Linked DNA regions of Lepisosteus oculatus. The protein of the gene in region 2 purifies or fractionates together with the protein of the main gene of each other region. This does not show direct contact. Links are inferred from orthologs where the notes say so. Each region holds a gene or a part of one and is shown on either strand. Other genes may lie near its edges. The genes, in order: siah1 and gapdh.

Evidence for each region.
Region 1: the proteins of gapdh (region 2) and siah1 purify together in Homo sapiens (affinity purification with western blotting; 4 studies listed by BioGRID). This does not show direct contact. The link is inferred for Lepisosteus oculatus from reciprocal best matches to the Homo sapiens genes GAPDH and SIAH1.

The regions. Positions count from the first base shown.
Region 1 is NC_090715.1:1,592,706-1,602,271, forward strand, and holds the start of siah1 (E3 ubiquitin-protein ligase Siah1), read right to left. Parts: upstream 4,488-9,566; 5' UTR 1-4,487. UniProt on the Homo sapiens protein: E3 ubiquitin-protein ligase that mediates ubiquitination and subsequent proteasomal degradation of target proteins.
Region 2 is NC_090718.1:3,651,063-3,661,311, reverse strand, and holds the start of gapdh (glyceraldehyde-3-phosphate dehydrogenase), read right to left. Parts: upstream 4,759-10,249; 5' UTR 4,658-4,758; intron 3,896-4,657; 5' UTR 3,873-3,895; coding exon 3,850-3,872; intron 139-3,849; coding exon 39-138; intron 1-38. Other genes in the region: nppcl (C-type natriuretic peptide-like), read right to left, coding at 10,224-10,249. UniProt on the Homo sapiens protein: Has both glyceraldehyde-3-phosphate dehydrogenase and nitrosylase activities, thereby playing a role in glycolysis and nuclear functions, respectively.

The DNA.
Region 1 (9,566 bases), on a different chromosome or scaffold from region 2:
TCGTGGCTCCACCTACAACCACCAGCCGCACAGACAAAGAAAGTGAGCTGACAGCTCTGAAGTGGCTGGGCCTGCCCCACACCGCGCCTCTCGGGGCCTGCCCTGCCTTCACCACAGTCAGGGCCCAGAAACATTCAACACAACCCGCTGGAAACCACGCTAAAAAGAAAAAGCCTGATCCTTCACCGACAACAGTTAGAGCTGAAACTCCAACAGCACACAGGTGACAGGACTAAACTTCATACTTGGGATTAAAAAAGAACTCCCTTCTTACTGAGGATAGATCAAAAATCCCAATGACCTCTAAAAGAGAAAGATCTACGATACACTGCAGAAACAAAATAAAAAACTTTTATGACTTCAGCTTGCAGAAAAATCAACTATATTCATATCAAAGTGGAAGGGGGAAAGTTCCACAAATTAAACTAAAACAAAAACAAACGAATTTCCACCTGTGCCAGCTCTTGGGGTCTGGGAGTTTGTGCACGCTTGTCCTTTTGGAGTAACTGGCTGCAGCTCAGCCTGATCCCCTGGCACTGATTTGCTCTAATCTGGAGTGCTAACAACCCTTCTGTTTTCACACCTTCAACTCCCACACTGGCAGCTACTTTACATTGTGCCCGATGCGTGAAGATTAAAACTATCTGCATTCCTCAAAACAACACGCAGGCTAGTCTGCCTCCACTCATCGCCCTCCAGCCTCCCAACCACCTAGGCAAGACAGAAGACATTAGAGATAATGGCCTCACAGTGGATGTCTGAGACACTCTAGTTAACCTCATTTAGTAGTTCCGGAAAGCACTCTGCTATCTGTAACTTTTGACAATTTAATTTCAAGTTGGAGAACATTAAGGCAGGAGAGAAGTGAAGGCTGACACACAGGTACTTCAGACAAACTATTGCCTATCCTGCAAATTATTCATTTGCCTTTAGCAACACTCATGTTTCCTGGACACAAGCTCTCAGCTCCATGAAGATAAAAGAAAATGGAAAATTAACAAGAAAGTCCCATTTCCAACAGCAGCTATACCACATGACAAGATCAAGCAGTCAGACCTCAGCAAGATCTCCAGGCATGGCTGAACTTGGTCTGTATTGGACCAAGAAGAAGAGAGGAGGTGGCTGCTATACCTGGCAGACCAGTATATGGTGCTCTTTCCTCTGGACCAGAAATACTAAACCAGCATGGCAAGTGTGACAGGACTAAATACCTTCTTTTGGACAAAGCATTAAATCAAGAGCCCGAAAACTTGGCCTTTAAAAATCAAGATTTAAGAGCTTATTAAGGCACCCTTAATAAGAGCAGAGCTGTGAGTTGTGGTGGTCAGGTTAAATTTCACTCTTGGATTGTAGTAGCCAGCCTCAATAAGCTTCCCCAGGTCACAGGTGGGTACTGTGCTTCAGTGGTAGATGAGGCAGGTTCTTGCGATGCCTAAAAAAAAAACCTTCGGACCATTTAGGATGAAAAGCACAACATGAGTGCGAATAATTTGATATCATAACAGACCTAAGCTACGTATGTGACAAGCTGTCCAGATGGTTGCAGTAATGGTGAAAACTGCTCCCCCAGCATCTCTCCAAACCACAGAGTTTTAGACCATTCAGCAGGAATGTGACCCCTCTGATGTGGATTTGTGTTAAACTGGATGTGCCTAAGAGCAGGCATACATACTTTTTTGCTCTATAACTTCGGGGCAGTACGTGTAGCCACACTACAACACGCATGATAAACAGAATTCTGCTTACGCTGCATGCGCTGTGGGATGTAAAGCTTAGTAGCACGCAGGGAAGCCAGGTTTTTGTGAACAAAGGAATGCAAATAAGATGTTTACATAAAAAAAGGCAAACAGGCTATTTACATATATGCTTGCAGAAGCCCATGATGAACCAGGATATGGAGCAAATAAGGGATATGTAACATGATGCAAAGCAGATTCCATATGGAAAACTCATTATGAGTGAACTGCGTAATAAACAAACACCTCACATTACTGTTAATAAAGAACACTTGTCACAAACTCTCCTTTTATGCGAAAAATAAAACACATTCCAGGCACATTCCCATGCACTCCAGTAAATCTTAGCATTAATTTTTAAAATATGACATTGTTAGGAGGCTGTTTGGAGTTCTTGCTAGCCTAAAATATAAATTTAGCGGTGGCCCGGTTAGGTCTTTCAGCTCTGCTGCAGGAATTTGGGGTTATAGTGCAAATAGATGTTTTTCCAGCTCAAATCTTTCCAGGGTTCAGTGGGCTGTTTTGGAGCAGACGCTGGCTGGATATACCATACTCTTTTTCAGGAGGAACAGCAAGTTTCAGCTCACAACAATAACCAGACAGCACAGAGGCGAGACTTCAAAAATAATTGACACACGACCTTCATGGACATGAATACCATGGACACGGGCCCTGACTTTGGTACAACACTGCGATATGCATTGTAAAAGAAATACAAGTTATAAAACAGGATCTGTCAACGTAATATTTCTCCGTAGAGTATTTATTGTGTTTATCACTAAAATAAAGCACAAGTGGAAACAGGCATGTTTTTATTTCCTCTAAACCATATCTAATCTTTTGGAAGCTCTCAAAGGGCCTCAGTAACCCAAATCTTCAACACTAACGGAACACACTGAACATTTTCAAAACCAATCCTCTGAATTGTTCTCAAAGGGGACCTTGGAAATTCCCCGAGATATCTCAGCTGAATCCCGAAACGGCCAGCCCAGAAGCTGCACAGGCAAGACCAAACGAAAGACGAAACCCAAAACACAAACACAGACAGTTCAGTAATCGCCTACCCTGCAGCACTGAAGTTCCTGCATGAAGCATGTCCAGGCGCGAGGTGGGTGAGGGGCAGAAACCAGGGGTCCACCTTGCAAACGATGCTCATCTAACTTAACAGAGGTCTCAAAACTGAAGGGGAATATAGGATACCTGCCATGGCCACAGGAAACAGACAAGGGCCTATATCCTCATCAGACTACATGCACAAGTGCAGTTGTCAGATCCCAACTACCCAAAGAAGACAAAACAGACTTTTCAGATAACGTCTTGCATGTCTGAGAACTATGGCTCAGCAAAGGCTGGTGCCTTTTCTACAATGCCCAAAGGAAGCATTTACTCCCATTAAAAAGTAAAACACAAACGCCCATTAGAATACATTTGCAAATCTGCAATTCTGACTGGCACACACTTAAGTCACCTTAAGTAGCTACAGACTCAAGTACTGGCAGCAGAGCCTAACTGTACTGCAGCAAACTCACCGGAATACAACCGATGCTTAGTCAGGTGAGCGACTGATTAGAAAACTTAGAAGAGGTTATCACTGATAAGCCAATACACTCAAATTAACAGTAACCCTATTTCAGAAGCTGGGTGTCAATACCTACGGCCTGTAACAATCCTTCACATGTGTACTCTCATTCTGCAGCTGCCACTCTGCTGAAGGGGCTCTAGAGCAGAAATAAGTACCACAGACAAGCTCAGCAGGGACAGTTTTAAAGCAGATGCGAGGGTGATAAATCCTCTTAAGAAACAGAGGGCGGTTCACCTGCGTGCCCAAGATTTAGAGCTGGGATGACAGCTGTCTAAAAGCCCCTGAGTCACCCACTCTACTTCAGGATGAGGAGAGAGGTGGCATGTCCCACACCTATGGGAGCTATTCATGTACAGTGGGTCCAGTCCCCTCTACCCTGAATCAGGGTGGCAGCAAGGACAACTAGCAGGGTCCCAATAGCACCCCCTTTGCAATTAACAATCACCCCTTCACAGTGACCCAGAAACATTTGGGCAGTCACAAGAAAGTGTGTCAAACAGCCACAATATCATGTATCTGCTTTTACAACAGCAAATACATCAGCAAAACAGATGGACTAATCCCTACCTTAGCAAAGTGCAATGTAATGGTGACATTTAACTACATATTACACTGTACTGCAATATGGGATTTTTACAACACAAATGCTAGTTTTGCCTACAGCAGCAACGCAACTGCCAAAATATCGTGCAACATCTTTATCTCAAATGCTTCTTTAAAACTGGCACTAGGGGAACTGAAGATCTCCCTCACAGGGGGGCAAATCTCATTTCGTTAATGCGTTCCTGGGTCACTACTGTAACCCACGCAACCCGCTTTTGTGGAGTAAATCTGAACTTCAAAGCAGACGTAATCCGCTCAGAGCATCAAACATCTCTTAATGGTCCAGATGCAATCGTCTCGGAGGACAGCTGGTTCCGTACCCGTCCGGCGCTCAGGAGCTGCAGCGTCCGTCTTACAGACGAGTACATTCAATCACCTGATGCCCTCACACATCCTCAAGGCAAGAAGCAAGGTTTCGGCTCCAGCAGCACAGGCCGGGGTAGCAACTTGACCTCCGCCATGTTGGCAGCGAAAAGACATGCACCCAAAAACCCAAACATCACGGCACCGTCTGCCGGGCTCGGACAGCCGGGCGGCAGGGGATTTAAAAACAAACCGCAGAGGGGGTATTCAGATAGCAATAGTGTTTAAAAGATTACCGTGAGACATACACACACGCCCCCCTGCTACAGGGGTATGTAGGGGATGAAAGCCATTTCTCCTGTATGAGGTTAGAGAAGAGGTCGCTCTTCTAACGCTCCTGCTGTCTGCGGTCCTTCAGCAGTTCGGGGAAACACAACGATCGTTTCCATTTCCCGGGGTTCGTCAGCCAAGCTGGACATCTCGTAGAGCCGCTCTCTCAATCGTTTAAAACAACAACAACAACAACCCGGCTTCTGCGGGGACCGAGCTCAGCCTCCCCGCCGCGCACGCCTGCACCCAAACCGAGAGGCCCAGCAACCCCAGCCCGCAGGACTGAGCAGCGGCCCCCCCTTCCCTTCCCGGCCCGCACGCCGACGCCGAGTAGGCCGCAGAGCCCCGCCGCCGTGAAGGGCAAGCCCGTGCCCGGCTGCCTCCTCGCCGGCCGGCCGGGGCTGCGCCGAGGCGCCCTCACGGCTAACCCGGCCCGGCCCGGGGGCTCTCCCGGAGACAGCGGGCCGGCCCCTGCACACGCACACGCACCCCCGCTGTTAAATACCCCCCCAGCCGACCCCCCCCGACACAGAGAAGAGCCTTGGGGAGGAAGAAAAAAAAAAGCAGACCTCTACCTTCGTGCTCGCTTTTACCTTTCCCGGGCCAGGACGAGCTCAGCGACATGGTCGCGGCCACTGTAACGTGCTCTTCCCACAACAAAGCGGAGCCGCGCCGACCCGTAATCCCAACCGAAACCCCGTCCGGACCCGGTCCGGGAGGGGGTCAACCGCTTACCTCTGACGAAATGTCTTTTTTTACTTTACTTTTTTTTTGTCGCTTTCCTTAATTATCCCAGCAGGCTTTCCGCTCGTAATGTTTTTTTTTTACCCTTTCGTTGTGTCCAGTGTTTCTGGATCCCCACATCCACGCTGTGTGTCTCCACACACACACACAGAGACAGACTCAGCCGCCGGTCTCGGAGCCGCGCACCGACTGTTGTTGAAATACTTTTCCACGGGAACTGCGGCGGGCGGCGGGGGCGCGCAGCCGGGAGCGCGCACCAGCTTCAGAAAGCGGGGGGCGGCGCTTCCGTCCATCTTGGCACGGACGTCACGTGCTCAGGTGTGCGACGCGGTGACAGGTGTAAAACAAACATCCCTGTATCTTATTGCCGAGTAAACGGCGCTCTAAACAGAGGGAATCGGATCAGGGCCGAGTTGAAGTCTCTAAGGAACAGCAAAGGAAACAAAACCCAATACAAACCAGGGGCGTTTTAAAGCGGCGGCAATTTTGGCGTGGAGGCGTTAAGCATTAAGTGATACTCAAATCCTAGCCGACTATCATTTTCAAAATGTCTTAACTACAAGGAAATCATACTGTATGTTTAGACTGCATGTGTACTTCTGTTGTAGGTGTGTGGCTTCTAATAAAACAAACACTAAGTTCAGCTCAATGGATCAATTAGTTGATTTAATGAAGCAAATATTTGGACATGGATATGAAAAGTAACCAGAGCCAGTAGGAACAAAAATACAGCTCAGGAAATCACAATGGATTTTCGGGACATAAACAGTGTAACAGTTGTTTTGTAACGTCAAAACCAACGTTAGTGTCTTGTCTGACCTCCCTGAAGACTAACTCAGCCCTGGAGCACTGACTCACAGTCCTGATCAGCCTCTGGACCGTAGGCTGTCCGGCTACACTCTTCCAGGGCAGCTGCTGCCAGCTGGTCAGGGGCGGCCTGTCGTGACGTCTCCTGTTGAAGTCTGTAGTAATTTGGTCCCACAGCTGCTCTGTTGCCACAGAGAGACCCTGACAGTGTTTTCCTGAGGTTGTCCTGTTGTAATCCTGCCTGGGTGGTCTTGCATCATCCGTTCTGGAAAATGTTCACTTCCAGCCAGGCTTGCAGGAATGGAAGAGCTGTTTCCTCAAGCTCTTTCTTCCTCAGCAGTAGGTTTGTGGTCAGTCTGAACCGAAGGTGTCCTGGTGTTAAAGGAGACTCCTCTGCACATCACCACACCTCCACCACTCCAGCAGTTTGTCTTCAACAGTCAACATAAGGCTCATGAAGGTGTCTCCACACACCTTGTCTTCCATCAGTCTTACAAGAGCCCAACAGGAGCGGAGTGGTGGCTCTGTGGCTCAGGATCTGCGCCTGTGGCTGGAAGGTTACCAGTTCAAATCCTGCAGCCGGCAGAGGAATCCTACTCCGTTGGGCCCCCGAGCAAGGCCCTTCACCCCAACTGCTCCAGGGGCGCTGTATAAATGACCCTGCGCTCTGACCCCAAGCTTCTTTCCCTGTCTGTGTGTCTCATGGAGAGCAAGCTGGGGTCTGTGAAAAGACAAATTCCTCATGCAAGAAACTGTATAGGGCTAATAAAGTGATGTTATGTTAAAACAGCCAGGAAGTCAGGAAATAAAACCCTCCAGCAGTCACTCTGCTGCCACCCCATGTCCTCTGGCCCACAGCAGACAGCGATTTCATCTCCCTGCGATGACATGTTAGTGAGCCTTTCTGCACCCCCACCTGGCTTCCACAACACGCCGAGACTGAAGAGCCCCAGCCGACAGAGGACAGCAGCTCTGGGGTCCCTGTGCTGACAGGAGTGACCAGTGAATTGGGCTGCAGGCAGCCTGTGTCATTCCCAAACCAGAGCCCTTTCGACAGCCTGGCTACAGACGAAGACCGGGTGAGTTGTGAGACACTGCAAGAGGAGGGTAACTGCTCTGAGGCCATCTTAGAGACTGTGTGCGGCAGGGACACTTTTTCCTTGCAGTGCAACGATAATATGCCTCTGCAAGGACACACTTCTGTCTGCAGTACCAAGCACCTGGCTGTCTCGCCTCCTACTCCTGTCTGCATCAGAGACACAGACAGCAGGCAGGGTCACTCTGCGTCCTCAGACGAGCTCTGCCAGCTAGCGGGGAGCCCGGACTTCATCCCAGAGCCCGTCTCACAGCAGCAGGAACACAGGCAGGACCTGGAATTCATCTTGTCTCCAGACAGCGTCCGTCTCACTACCATTTCTCCCACACACATTTTCAGCACGGTTCAACAGCACCGATTTGAACCCAACGGGGAGCTCACACTGCAGTCCCGACACCAGCCAGCGGGCATTGATTTGGGCCAGAGCAGCGTCATGCCCGGTACCCCGGTGCTGCTGAAGAGAACCGGGCCTGCTCTTGTGTTGGGCCTCACATGAGGGTACTGTTCAGGGAGCCTGGTTGAAAAGGACCAACCAGGGACAGGCTGGATACCCAGGAAGATAGAAACTGGACTGGATAATGGATTTTGAGTTATATAATGCCGTTCACAACATGTTGATATCTGGTACTTTCCTTGTGTTTTTTAACATTTTTGTCCTAACATGTTTTTTTGTTTTGTTCTGCTTGAAGTGTGATGCAAGACAGTTTTGTTGTTGTTTTGTTTCAGTTTAACATGTGAGAACTGCCTGAGCTATTTTTGTGGTTCAATGTTTTCGGTGACACTTGCTTTTCATGCTTTTCGGCCTTTGCCATCGTTTAGGCCTCATTGTTACGGCGCTTAGTGAAGGACATTTACACAAAACATTTTCTTGATTTTATTACTGGTTTAGTTTAAAAACTTGTTATGGTTCTATTTACAATGTTTGTGTTTTGTCACATTTAAACCTTAGATCTGTTGGTTTAGTGCTGCTATTCAAATGCACCTTTCATATGCCAGCAGCTATATCACCCTGCAACTCACAACTGGCAGCCCACTGAAGCTCAGCAGGTGTGAGCCTGGTCAGTACCTGGATGGGAGACCTCCTGGGAAAAACTAAGGCTGCTGCTGGAAGAGGTGTCAGTGGGGCCAGCAGGGGACCTCACCCTGCGGTCCATGTGGGTCCTAATGCCCCAGTATAGTGACGGTGACACTATACTGTAAACAGGCGCCGTCCTTCGGATGAGAAATAAAACCGAGGTCCTGACTCTCTCTGGTCATTAAAAATCCCGGGGCGTTTCTCGAAAAGAGTAGGGGTGTTACCCCAGCGTCCTGGCCAAATTTCCCATTGGCCCTTACCAATCATGGCCTCCTAATAATCCCCCTCTATGAACTGGCTACATTCATTACATACATACATTAGCTGGTGTGTGGTGAGCATTCTGGTGCACTATGGCTAGGGCTGGGCCATTCTGGTGGGGCTGCACACTGGTGGTGGTGGTCAAAGTGCCAAACAGGGACTCAGGTTTACAGCAGCAGTGCCTTCCAAGCAGTGGAGACCATGTGTACCCTACTATTCCCAGCATTGTCTAGGTAAAAGATAACTTTGATTGTTCTCCTTTACAGTTTTACCTGGGACCAAATCTCTGCCATTGTCTTAGAGTCACTTCAAACAAAGACTCTTTAGAGGAAAGAAAAGGAACAGAATGTAGTTTTTTGTGTGTGTTTTTGTTATAATGAGTAATGGACACCTCTGTGTTTATTGAGTTGAAAGAGCTGTGGTCTATAGCAAACAGTTTATTCTGTCACTGAACAGGGTTTGCAAGGCACCAGAAATTGGTAAGCGACACTTGTGGGATTAATCAGATCTCAGAAGCAGAAGCTGAAATCCGCGTGAATCACATAAATAAGGTGACTTCCACTGTTCAGTACAGATTTGTTGGGTCCACTGGGGAACCTGTATGCAAAGTTTTGTATTTTTGTTTTGCAAAAGACCACTAGCCATAAAACGACATCAGACACAGAGTGATTGTCCTAATGTTGCTAACGTTGGTAATTGGGCATCCTCTTGATAAGCCTATAAATAAGGGAAATCAAGTTGGAAAAAACACTAAGCTCTCTCAGTAAAGAACACTCGTTTTCTCTTAAACTGGGGAATTTAAATTCAGAAACCTACTGAAATATAATTCAGATAAAAGCAGAAATATGTTACCTTTCCTTCACCCCTTTAATAACTTCTCTACTCTATAAGGTCACTTGATGAAACCAATTATTGGGGACAATAGTTTTGTTACAACTTTGGTGGCTGAGACATGATAAAGTTTGTGACACTGGGAAGAGTAAATACTTCTATCTTCAAAGCAGAGAGGATGTTTGCTGAGGTCTGGGG
Region 2 (10,249 bases):
ATATGTACTCCTTTTGTTCAAAGCCGTTAACAGCTTACCATGTACTCCAGATCGATGAAAGGATCATTGATGGCCGCGACCTCCACCTTCCCAGAAGTCACAGCAGCACGGGTCACCAGACGCCCAATGCGGCCAAATCTGATTGCACAAAAAAAACCCTGGATATTAGAGGGCACACCGATCAGTCAAGAACACGATACGAGGAAACGGAGTCTTGACTTGGAACAGCGATAGCAAGAAGGGGTTCAAGCCTATGCATCTAGGTTTCCACAACAAAATCAAGTTGCCACAGGGTGGCAGCAGAGCCCCCCTGAAACTGCTCTCTTTCCAGTAGGAGGGGAAGTGGAGACCACGAAGTCCAGCTGATCCGAGTGTCACTGCCAAGTCAGAGCTCCCGATGCTTGTGCTGAAACACAGGAGCCCACGCTCTGGCTTATCCCTTTGTTATCCCAAGGGCTTCTCATTCAGCTGTAGGGAACAGTCCTCTTGAAATTGTGGATGCAAGATGTGCAAGGACACCCATCACTTAAAGATGAAGGCTTTATTTAAAAAAAAAAAGCCATTACCAACCTATTCTCTGCTTTTGAGCCTTAAGGTAGGGCTTAGATTTGAGTACAGTTACAAAACTGTTAAGGTGTCAACTGGATGTGAAGGTGGTGCATGTATTTCCCCTATTAAGTAAGGCAATCAAATCAAAACTCAGGCAGCACTTAAGCCTTCTGGTTGTCTTATGCCAAGATCTTAACCACAGGCAAGACTCAAATCTTCCATGCAAGGCCTTTAAAATGTGCTTCCAGGTCTAAAAGCTCAATGGTGTGCAATAGAGAGGAAGCCTGTGATAAATAGCACAGATAAGGGAGTAAATTCACATCAATAGTGCATTTGAAATCTAAACCAGCAAGCAAGTCAGTTGCTGGTGCTAGTTAACATTAAGGACCCAACTGGAACAAAAGCCAACAGATCGAGATACTCCAGGACCTGAGAGCATCTTCAGCCCTTTGATGGCCAACTGCTCAGTGTCAAGTTGAAAATACTGTTCCAACCTGCACCAGAAGGGGGCAGCATCCAGTCACTCTCTCAACTACCGAGAGCTTCTTAGATAAAGGCCTTGAGTTCGCCATTAGCCACTGCACTTCGGTATTAGGACTGAAGTTCATATCTATACATATTAACCCATCCCAGCATTGCACAACTCCAGACTTGCACAAATATTTGATCAGCAAAACCCAAAGGAGAAAACAGGTTGATGTTTAGCCAGTGTTGTCGTTACCAGTAATTAAACGCAGCCGAGAATAAGGAGATGGAAACGGGTAGGTCCTGTTCATACATGCTGTAGTGGCAGAGAGGGGTTTCTATGACACAGAGGGAGGTGAACCAGCCAACACAGGCTCCACAAGCAGATTGAACAGTCATTCGTATCAGGCCAGAAGGACCACCAACCTCAGTGCAGTAAGGTACCCAGTGCCCATTTTGTGGCATAGTTCATGTTTTTGAAGGAAATTTAAGGGCCAAAGTGCAGTTTTCAAAGGTGAATATTAACAAGACAGTACAGGGTTCTGTCCTCTTCTGCAGAAAGGGGCTGTTCATAGTAGGAAGCAAGCACAGAACATTCACACACTTCCATAAAAGTAATTGATAAACAGGGTTTTATCTGGGTCTAAAGTCAGAAGTGGGTCCATTATCTCCCCACTGCCCCACCCCAGTCCTGACTGGCTGGCTACCTCCAAACTGGAGGGGAGGAGTCATCCCACTGCTCCCTTCTTCAGCTGGAGAGGAAAGCCTGAAAAAAGCCACAGCACACCAGAACTGAAATGGGCAGCCCTTGTAAGTCACCAGGCTTGATTGGAGAAGGTCCTTTAAAATTATAAACCCTATTGTGTCCTTTCATGCAGCTGAATTCCCATTTTAACACTAGCTTCCAGAAGTGCATCTCGGGTTCAAGTGGTGGGCATCATCAGGACAAGCCAGCACCTGCTGTACAGAGGTCTAACACATCCTGTAGTGGGAAACCCACTTAGGAACTGCAGGCTTGGGTTGTATAGCGCCTCCACAACCAGCAAAGCTGACTGAACCACTCCAGGTCACAGAGTGGGAGCCTGACCTATAACTAAAATGCCATTACTGAACGGATCTCATTTGTGGACCACATTCCACCCAGGAAAAGGCTAGAGGTCGGAGTTAAAGATCACTGGATGACCCCCAGCCTTCAAGAAAGGTTATTCGCCTAAAATAGGCAGAGAAGAATGCGACAGCTGTGCCTCGACTAGTGTCACTTAACAGAACTAAACTAAAAATAGAGCAGACCAAGAGGCCAACTGTACAGGTTACAGAGCACAGACTGAAGAGTACAGTAGACGAACAGGGCAAGGAGGTGTAGGGCAAACCTCCAGACTACCAGCCTTAATGTTTGACTGGGGCACTCAATCTAAACTTACAGTCCCCCCACCCCAGTATTCAAAAGTGGCATGGAGATCAGGGACTGAAGTTTCACTATAACCCCTGATCTTTACATGTGGTTTTAGTTTTTGAATCCAAGCAAGATAGCAGCTCGCCGTCTCTCTGGACTAAGGGGAGCAGAGAGCAAGCCAGACAGTGCAGTAGCACTTGCGACTCAGCAGGACAGCTGGTAGTTTGGGTGTAACAATATTGTGGCAATATGGGTCTTTGGATCCACCCCCAGCAAATCAAGCAACTGAAGCAGAAACTCAAACACCGATGGCTTTGTAGGAGCGTAGTTTAGTCAGCTAATCTAAAGTCATGCCAGGGAGGAACACTGGCATCATTAACCACCTAGTTGACACTCCAAGCTTGCTGGGCTTGGTCCGACTTCCAGATCGTTCTTCTCCCCACCCAGTTGGGCCAGTGGCAACACTGCAAAAGCCAGCTAGGGGCCGAGGAAATCAAGCCAAGCAACCTGCCAGAATAAAACCGCAGAACAAGGGGGGAGCACTGCACCCAATGGGTTATGGGGAAGATGGAACAAGAAACTCAGCCATGTTGAAAGCCGGTCTCCAGCTGTCTTGTGCAAAGCCAGGTTAAGACCCTCGAGTCTTGAGATAACCGCTTTTAGCTTCACAGGCTAAAAGCTCTCTGATCAGGCCTCCCCCCGGTGGGTTAGGGCACCAGACTCAAAAGCACTGGCCTCAGACTCAAAGTCCCAGGTGGAAATGCATCAGCTGGACACCCGATTGGGAGTTGCTGGTGAACCCAAGGTTGCAAATGAGCACCTACAATAAGAGTCAGATTAAGCCCCTGCTGTTGTGTACTCATGTCCAGAGCGGTACAAATAGCACAGCCTCTTCCAGATCAGTACATAACAGACTGAGGTGTAGCCATTTCAGTCAATGTAAGGCACAAGGACCTCAAAGAGAGCCATGTGAAACCAGGATCTGGAGGGATAGTTACTACCCACACTATATAGTGGAGCAATCAAGTTTCCCCTTAATCCAAGCAGGTCATGTAGGCCCACAGGTTCCACTGGGGCAGAAGAGACATTATCTGCTCCTCTCCTGACCTTTTGAGCTCCGTTGAACAACACTCCCAAATTTGGAGGCACTGCTTAAAGGCCAAGGTGGAGAGCCACTTCAAGTCAAGAGCTCTCCTCCTCATGAAGCCTAAAGCATTCAAAGCTAAATGCACATCTTGAAAGAATGAAAGCCAGTTACCTCCAAAACTGGTTAGATGCTTAAATGAAACCAGGTTAACCGAATTACAAGAATGAGATGGCAGGCCCTTTCAGGACGTTAGACTTTGAAATTAGGCTCTCATGTGCACCAGATCCAACACACAAAGTTGGATCACTTACACCTTCCACACAGTGGATCAGTGACCTGATGAAGGTTTACTCACCCGTTGATTCCAATTTTCACCATGGTTAACAGGTTAAAGTCCTCGTCTAGAAGGAGGAAACAAAAAAAAAAAACATTAAGAAAAAATGCACCCCGAATGACACGGAACAAGCTCAGGCGCAGTAGCGTCTAAAACGTCATAAGCCAACCGCCAAAAATAAAAAAACGAAACTAGTTCCAAAAGTTTTCCCGTTTCTCCTTTAAGTACAAGGTTGTACCGAAGCCAGAACCGTCCCTAGGCACTTCAACAGATACCGCCCACCCACACTAAGCATCCTGTAGAAATGAGAACTGGCGAACATTAAACTCGCACCTATGTCGGAGGGGAGCCGTATTCCGTAGAACATCGGCGCACTCACAACGCAGCGAGCTTACGATTCACACACGGCGCCATGCTAGACTTGAGACTGCAGCCGTGCTCGCTCGCTAAACGGTAAGCGACAATGAAGCAAGCAGGTCGCCATCTCTCCACCCCCCCCACACACACACACTACAAGTATTCCTTTACGCGAAACGGAGGTGTTGCAAGACGGAGGAGCAGAGAACCCCAATCAAGCGAAGAACAGCGGTACTGTGCAGTAGGAGCGCGTCATTAGAAGACGATACAGCCTTGCAGCCTCCGAAAACAAGACCTTTCCGCACAGAACTGGGCACTTCACAGCAAAACGACTGCTAGGTGCACAGACGACAGATGCAAATAGTCTATCCGATAGCTCCAAATACAAAGGCGCAAAAAAGTGGTATATTGAGCCCTATTACATCCCTAGACACTCAACACAAAGTCCAGCTTCAGGAAACCACATACTTACCGTTTGTGAGTTACAGCTCCTCTGCCCTTCCGGAAACTCTGACTTTCAGTGGAGTGAAGAGCCAGTGGCCGGGCTGGTGCACTTTATACCGGTAAGCTGGCGACGGTCACGCCCCCCCCCTCCCCGCCCTGCCTCCTGCCGGCGCTCCGCGGGCGGAACCTCAAGGTCACCCGAGTCCGCGGCCGCCATGACGGCTCCTGCAGAACACACGCGAGCAGCGTGCGGGGATAGTGCGTCACGGCGCTGCATGGGAAGTGTCCCGATGCTTTTTTTTTTGTATGTTTCCCTTGCTCTTATTGCTTGTGACCTCATGCATTTATTCTTGATCTAATGCGATGGCCCCGTGCACTATATCACAATACAGAATTGAAGTGAGAGATTATAATAATAATAAACTTTATTTTATATAGCGCCTTTAAAGGTGGCTTCTCAAAGCGCAAAGATTATTTCAAAAGTACTGTTAACAAACGCGATACTGCATACTGCAACGCGTTGTTTTTTTGTGGGGTGGGGTGGTTTGGAGATGAGCTAATAATATGCACTTCAGAGTTCTCCTTCGTGGAATGAAGGAGTTTGAAAGACCCGTGTATGGCACCTATATTAGAAAGACGTGGGTGATGCTGGCGCGCTGGGTGTGGCGAGGGGGACGCGTTCCTATTGGCTGGCGCAGGCCGGAGGCGTCGCCTCGTCTTCAGTACAAAGGTCTCCTTGATGCAGGAGACAGGAGGCTCCGAATTCATCATGAGCAGCCTGTCATATTACCGCGGTCAGGGGTGGTTAGGCCACAGCGCAGGTGTGACATTTGATCTCTGGGGTGCTGTGTAAGCATTGACCCTTCCCAAATGTGTAAAGGTGCCTTTGAGAAAGATAATAGAGGCTGTTGCTACAGCTACTAGAATAAAAGCAGAAGAAGAATAGGGTGGTTTCGTAACCAATAAATTATTCATGGAACAAGTAATAGGTTTATTCCATGATGAAAAGAGAACGTTGTGTTTCTTTTCTTCTCTTTTCAGCAGGGCATGACTCCATTGTTCCTCTGCAGCCTATTCATGCTGACGCAGCTCCCCACCTGAACTACTTCAATAAATTATGAAATACTTAAAATAGTAATGGTTAATAGACAGGAGAGCAGCAGACGCGCATGACTTTAACGTATACAAGAGAGCGAATCGCAAGAAGTGTTTTGCCAGTGTAAACGGCAGCCGATGAGCGGGTTTGTAATTAAGTTTCTAGCCTCACGACCTATCCCGGAGACGGCCTCCCCGCCCCCTGCCCCTCCCCCTTTGTCTTATTGGTGGCCTCCGCTGCCACTCCGACTCTCCGACGTCACTCGTTGGCTGCGAGGAGGCTCTGTGGCTGCGTTGCCACGGCGACCGAGCACACGCTGGATCGGCCGCACTGGGGCTACGTGGGGATCCGCGCGTCTGCCGTTCCTACCCCGGCCGTCGGGTTACGACTGCATGCGAGTGAAAGAGACGGGCCATGGTCTAAAACTCAGAGGCAGAGGCGCACTCGCAAAGACATTCAGGCCACACACGCCGCCGCCAGGACAGGCGGACAGGGGCGTGAGCGCCGGGAGTCTGGTTGGCGAGATCGGTTGCCTGCATCTGACCTTCTCCAGAGACGGAGAGACTGGGGGGATCGATTTCCGTCTGGGAGCTAGGAAAAGGTCAGCTCAGCGCTCGCTGGAAGGACCCTGACCTTTCCGTGCCCCCACTCTCTGTACCTCGCTCTTTCACCGTGGTGCTAATGCCCAGGCAGTCAGTCGCAGTGTCTGAAATTGCCTTTAAGTCACCATGGATATGCTTGCACTACACTGTACTGTATTTCCCCGAGTAAGGTACAAACTGTACTGTATTATATATAGTGCCAGATTGATACTGCAATTTATCAATGTAGCTGTCTATGGTGTGCTGTTCTGCCCTATAATGTACTATACTACATTATAGGGCAGAACAGATATACTACATTATATACCAGATTTACATTGTACCGTATTTACAGAGCCTGGTCTTCACTGTACTGTATCTACAGAGACTGATCTACACTGTACTGTATCTACAGAGCAGATCTACACTGTACTGTATCTACAGAGGAGGTCTACACTGTACTGTATCTACAGAGTCTAATCTACACTGTACTGTATCTACAGAGCAGGTCCACACTGTACTGTATCTACAGAGTCTAATCTACACTGTACTGTATCTACAGAGCCTGATCTACACTGTACTGTATCTACAGAGCAGGTCTACACTGTACTGTATCTACAGAGCAGATCTACACTGTACTGTATCTACAGAGTCTAATCTACACTGTACTGTATCTACAGAGCAGGTCCACACTGTACTGTATCTACAGAGTCTAATCTACACTGTACTGTATCTACAGAGCCTGATCTACACTGTACTGTATCTACAGAGCAGGTCTACACTGTACTGTATCTACAGAGCAGATCTACACTGTACTGTATCTACACAGTCTAATCTATACTGTACTGTATCTACAGAGCAGGTCCACACTGTACTGTATCTACAGAGTCTAATCTACACTGTACTGTATCTGCAGTGCCTGATCTGCAGTGCCTAAAGAGAAGAAAGGAAACCACGTTTCGGCTGTGGAACCTTCTTGGGGGTGTCGTTAATGACTGGCCGGGTGAGCCAAGATACCCTCCCCCCCCCCCCAGCCGGGCAGCAGGGAAAATAGGTAGTTTGGCACCGGGTCCGACCAGCCAGGCGCTCCGCCAGCACTCAGCACGACGAGCCTACCGGCGACTGGGTCCAGTGCCAAGCTCCCGAGGAAAGGAGGCAAAAAAGGGGACAAATAAAAAATTGGGAGAGCCGCTCGGGTCCGAAACCCCGCTCAGCCCCGGTAGACACCGGACCGCAGGGGGATCTGACCTCAGTGGCCGGGCAGGGAACTGCTGTGGGCGGCCTGGACGGAGGGAATCGGAAATCCTGGCGCCGGCTAGACCGGGCCGACAGAGACATATTTGGCCCTCGCTTGAAAACCCGACCCCCGGCTTCCCCTCTCCATCCACTCCCAGAGTCCTCCTTCGGTGAATGCCACACGCTGCGGTATGAAAAGGGGGTTGCTTGCATCCCGGTCAGAACCTGTTCATTACTGACCGAGCCATCTAAAAGACATCTCGCTCGACCCACAGCTGGTTTCCAGCTGGTCAGCGCTTCTGCGGAGGACGGGACGACCGTCGTTTCGGAGCCGGGACAGGTGAAAGGCATGGACAACAGCAAGTGGTCGGACTTGGAGGGGCTCTTGCGCTGTGCAAATCCAGCCCCAGCAAGCACTTACCCTGATCGATAAAGGACAATCACCCTTTTTTTATGAACGTCGGTATCACTATAGAATCTTGACTTGTTAAGAGTGTGTACTTAGTGTAAGAGGTTTATTGTGAATTCAAGTTTACCTCGATCCACTGTAGGAACTAAACTTACAAGAAACAGCCCCGCCTTGTTCCCCCTTTTAAAGAAAGTGCGTCCCCTGTCTCCGAGCTGAACTGCCAACAGGTGAAACGTTTCTCATGGGGAAGCGGCGCCTTTTTGTTAATACGCGTCGCAATGCTGACACCCAGTGGCTTCGCGAGAAACTGCAACGTCGCATCTTCGGATCTGATCAAGGAGCTGTCCCACGACGGAGCTCCGACAGTAATAATGCAGCCCAGACTCCGAAAACCCACACAAATCTTTTATTTTGACAGCATCTCCGGACACGGTGTTGGTTTGTTGACGATGAACAAGCGGCACACGACGAGGGCAGGACCCGACGGAGATGGGACCTGGGGCCCGGGTCTCTCCAGCCTCTCTCCTCGGGGGGGTGTCGAACTCCTCCAGCCGGCCGGGATCAAGGAATCACCGCGGGTGGTGGAGAGTTTCCCTTCACATCAGGCTCATGGCTTGGTGAATTTCTCCTCCAGTAAATACACCCTCCCCCCATCCAGCAAAAGCTACTCTCGGTTACATAAGCAGCGTGTAGTTTTATTACAGACAGGTAAAGGAAACAATACTACAGTGACAGTAGGATGCCATGCCATAGCGAGGCACTGTGGGCCAAAACTGAAACTAGTCTTTCATGAAACATGTCAACAAATGCACGGTGCTGCAGTCCACACTATTCTGCACAGCGGTGCTGGGGGGCTCTTGTTCAACGGTAGCCAGGCCATTCTCGTAGCTCTCTGCTTTGGCACAGAATGATTGCTGAAAAGCTTCCGTGGAGGAGTGAAGTACTCTACTCTACGTCGCCTGGTACCGGCATTCGCGTGTAACAAACAGGGAAAGCATCGTCCCCTCAGAGAGCCGCTTTGAGTAATGTCGTCTATCAAATAAATAATTACAGCACTGTATTTTGCCTGCTTCATATTTCCACATAGCCATCAGCAAACTGTGAGCACGTTCTGCTGCTGTGCAGTGGACAGCCTCCTACATAGATCCGGCGGTATATAGTGCCAGGGCGAAATTATAGCTTCTGAGCAAACACTACAGTAGCCTACTACAGTCTTTTACTCCGTGTCAGAAAGGAGAAAAGACAGAGCGCAGCCGAAGTCACTAGTCTGAAAAGCCAGGTACACACATCGCTCACAAGTTCGAGACAAGCTGCCTTGTTTTCATTTTAAAGGAAAAAGTAAAATGGGTGATACATATTCAGGGAAGAGACGGAGCATTTTGAAAAACACGCAGAACGACAGGGTGGAGTTCTAGAACGGCGCTGGGGGTGGGGGTTGGCAGAAGGTTCTAGAACGCCGGGGAACACCTGCAGGGACGAGAGAGACCGAGAGAGACGAGTCAGGGCGAAGACTCAGGCGTCGTCACACATGACGTTTCTACCCAGCCAGAGATCACTGGCTCGTGTCGCCGACAAGAACAAAAAGGCAATACACCTGGATCACAACACCAAGCACAAAGTGGAGCAGGCACACACCCTGCAGCCTTAAAATTAATTGAGATTTGACCTAGCTCGGACTCCCGCTCAGGAGATAGATTTGTACTGTGAGGCACCGAATTGTCGAAGACTAGAGAAATTTCTCCCTTCACCCCCTTGTTGAATAATTTCCAGTTTCTCCCATCAGAACGCAGATACAGACTCATCAACTCTCCAGACCAATAGAATTACGTTCTCATGCATACCAGTAGTCATACTGTTACTTAACACTTGACTTTCATGCAAATATGCATGTATGTTGTGTATATTGTTGTTTTAGTCGTGTTCTTTTGTTTCTCTGTCCGTCTGTACAACAGCACTGCTGCAGTGAAGCAAATTGCCCCCTCAGGGATATTAAAGGCTCTCTCTTACTCTTTAAAGGGGAGTTTTAATACCTGATAGCTCAGTTTTAAACTTATACTGCTAGGTTTACATTATAATTAGCAACACGGTGCCGTTTGTTGCTAATTAACATCATGAGCTTGTATAGAGTTTATTTTTGCAACATTCATATTATATTAGTTCTACACGCTTCATCTTCAAGGTTGAGAGTGGGGAAAAAAAACTACATGCAAATTGTCAAGTTGGTTGTAGTTGCCTGGCCTGTCCTCAGAAAGACACTCACCTCAGCCAATAGTTAGCAGCCGAGCCCGCTGAGGGAGC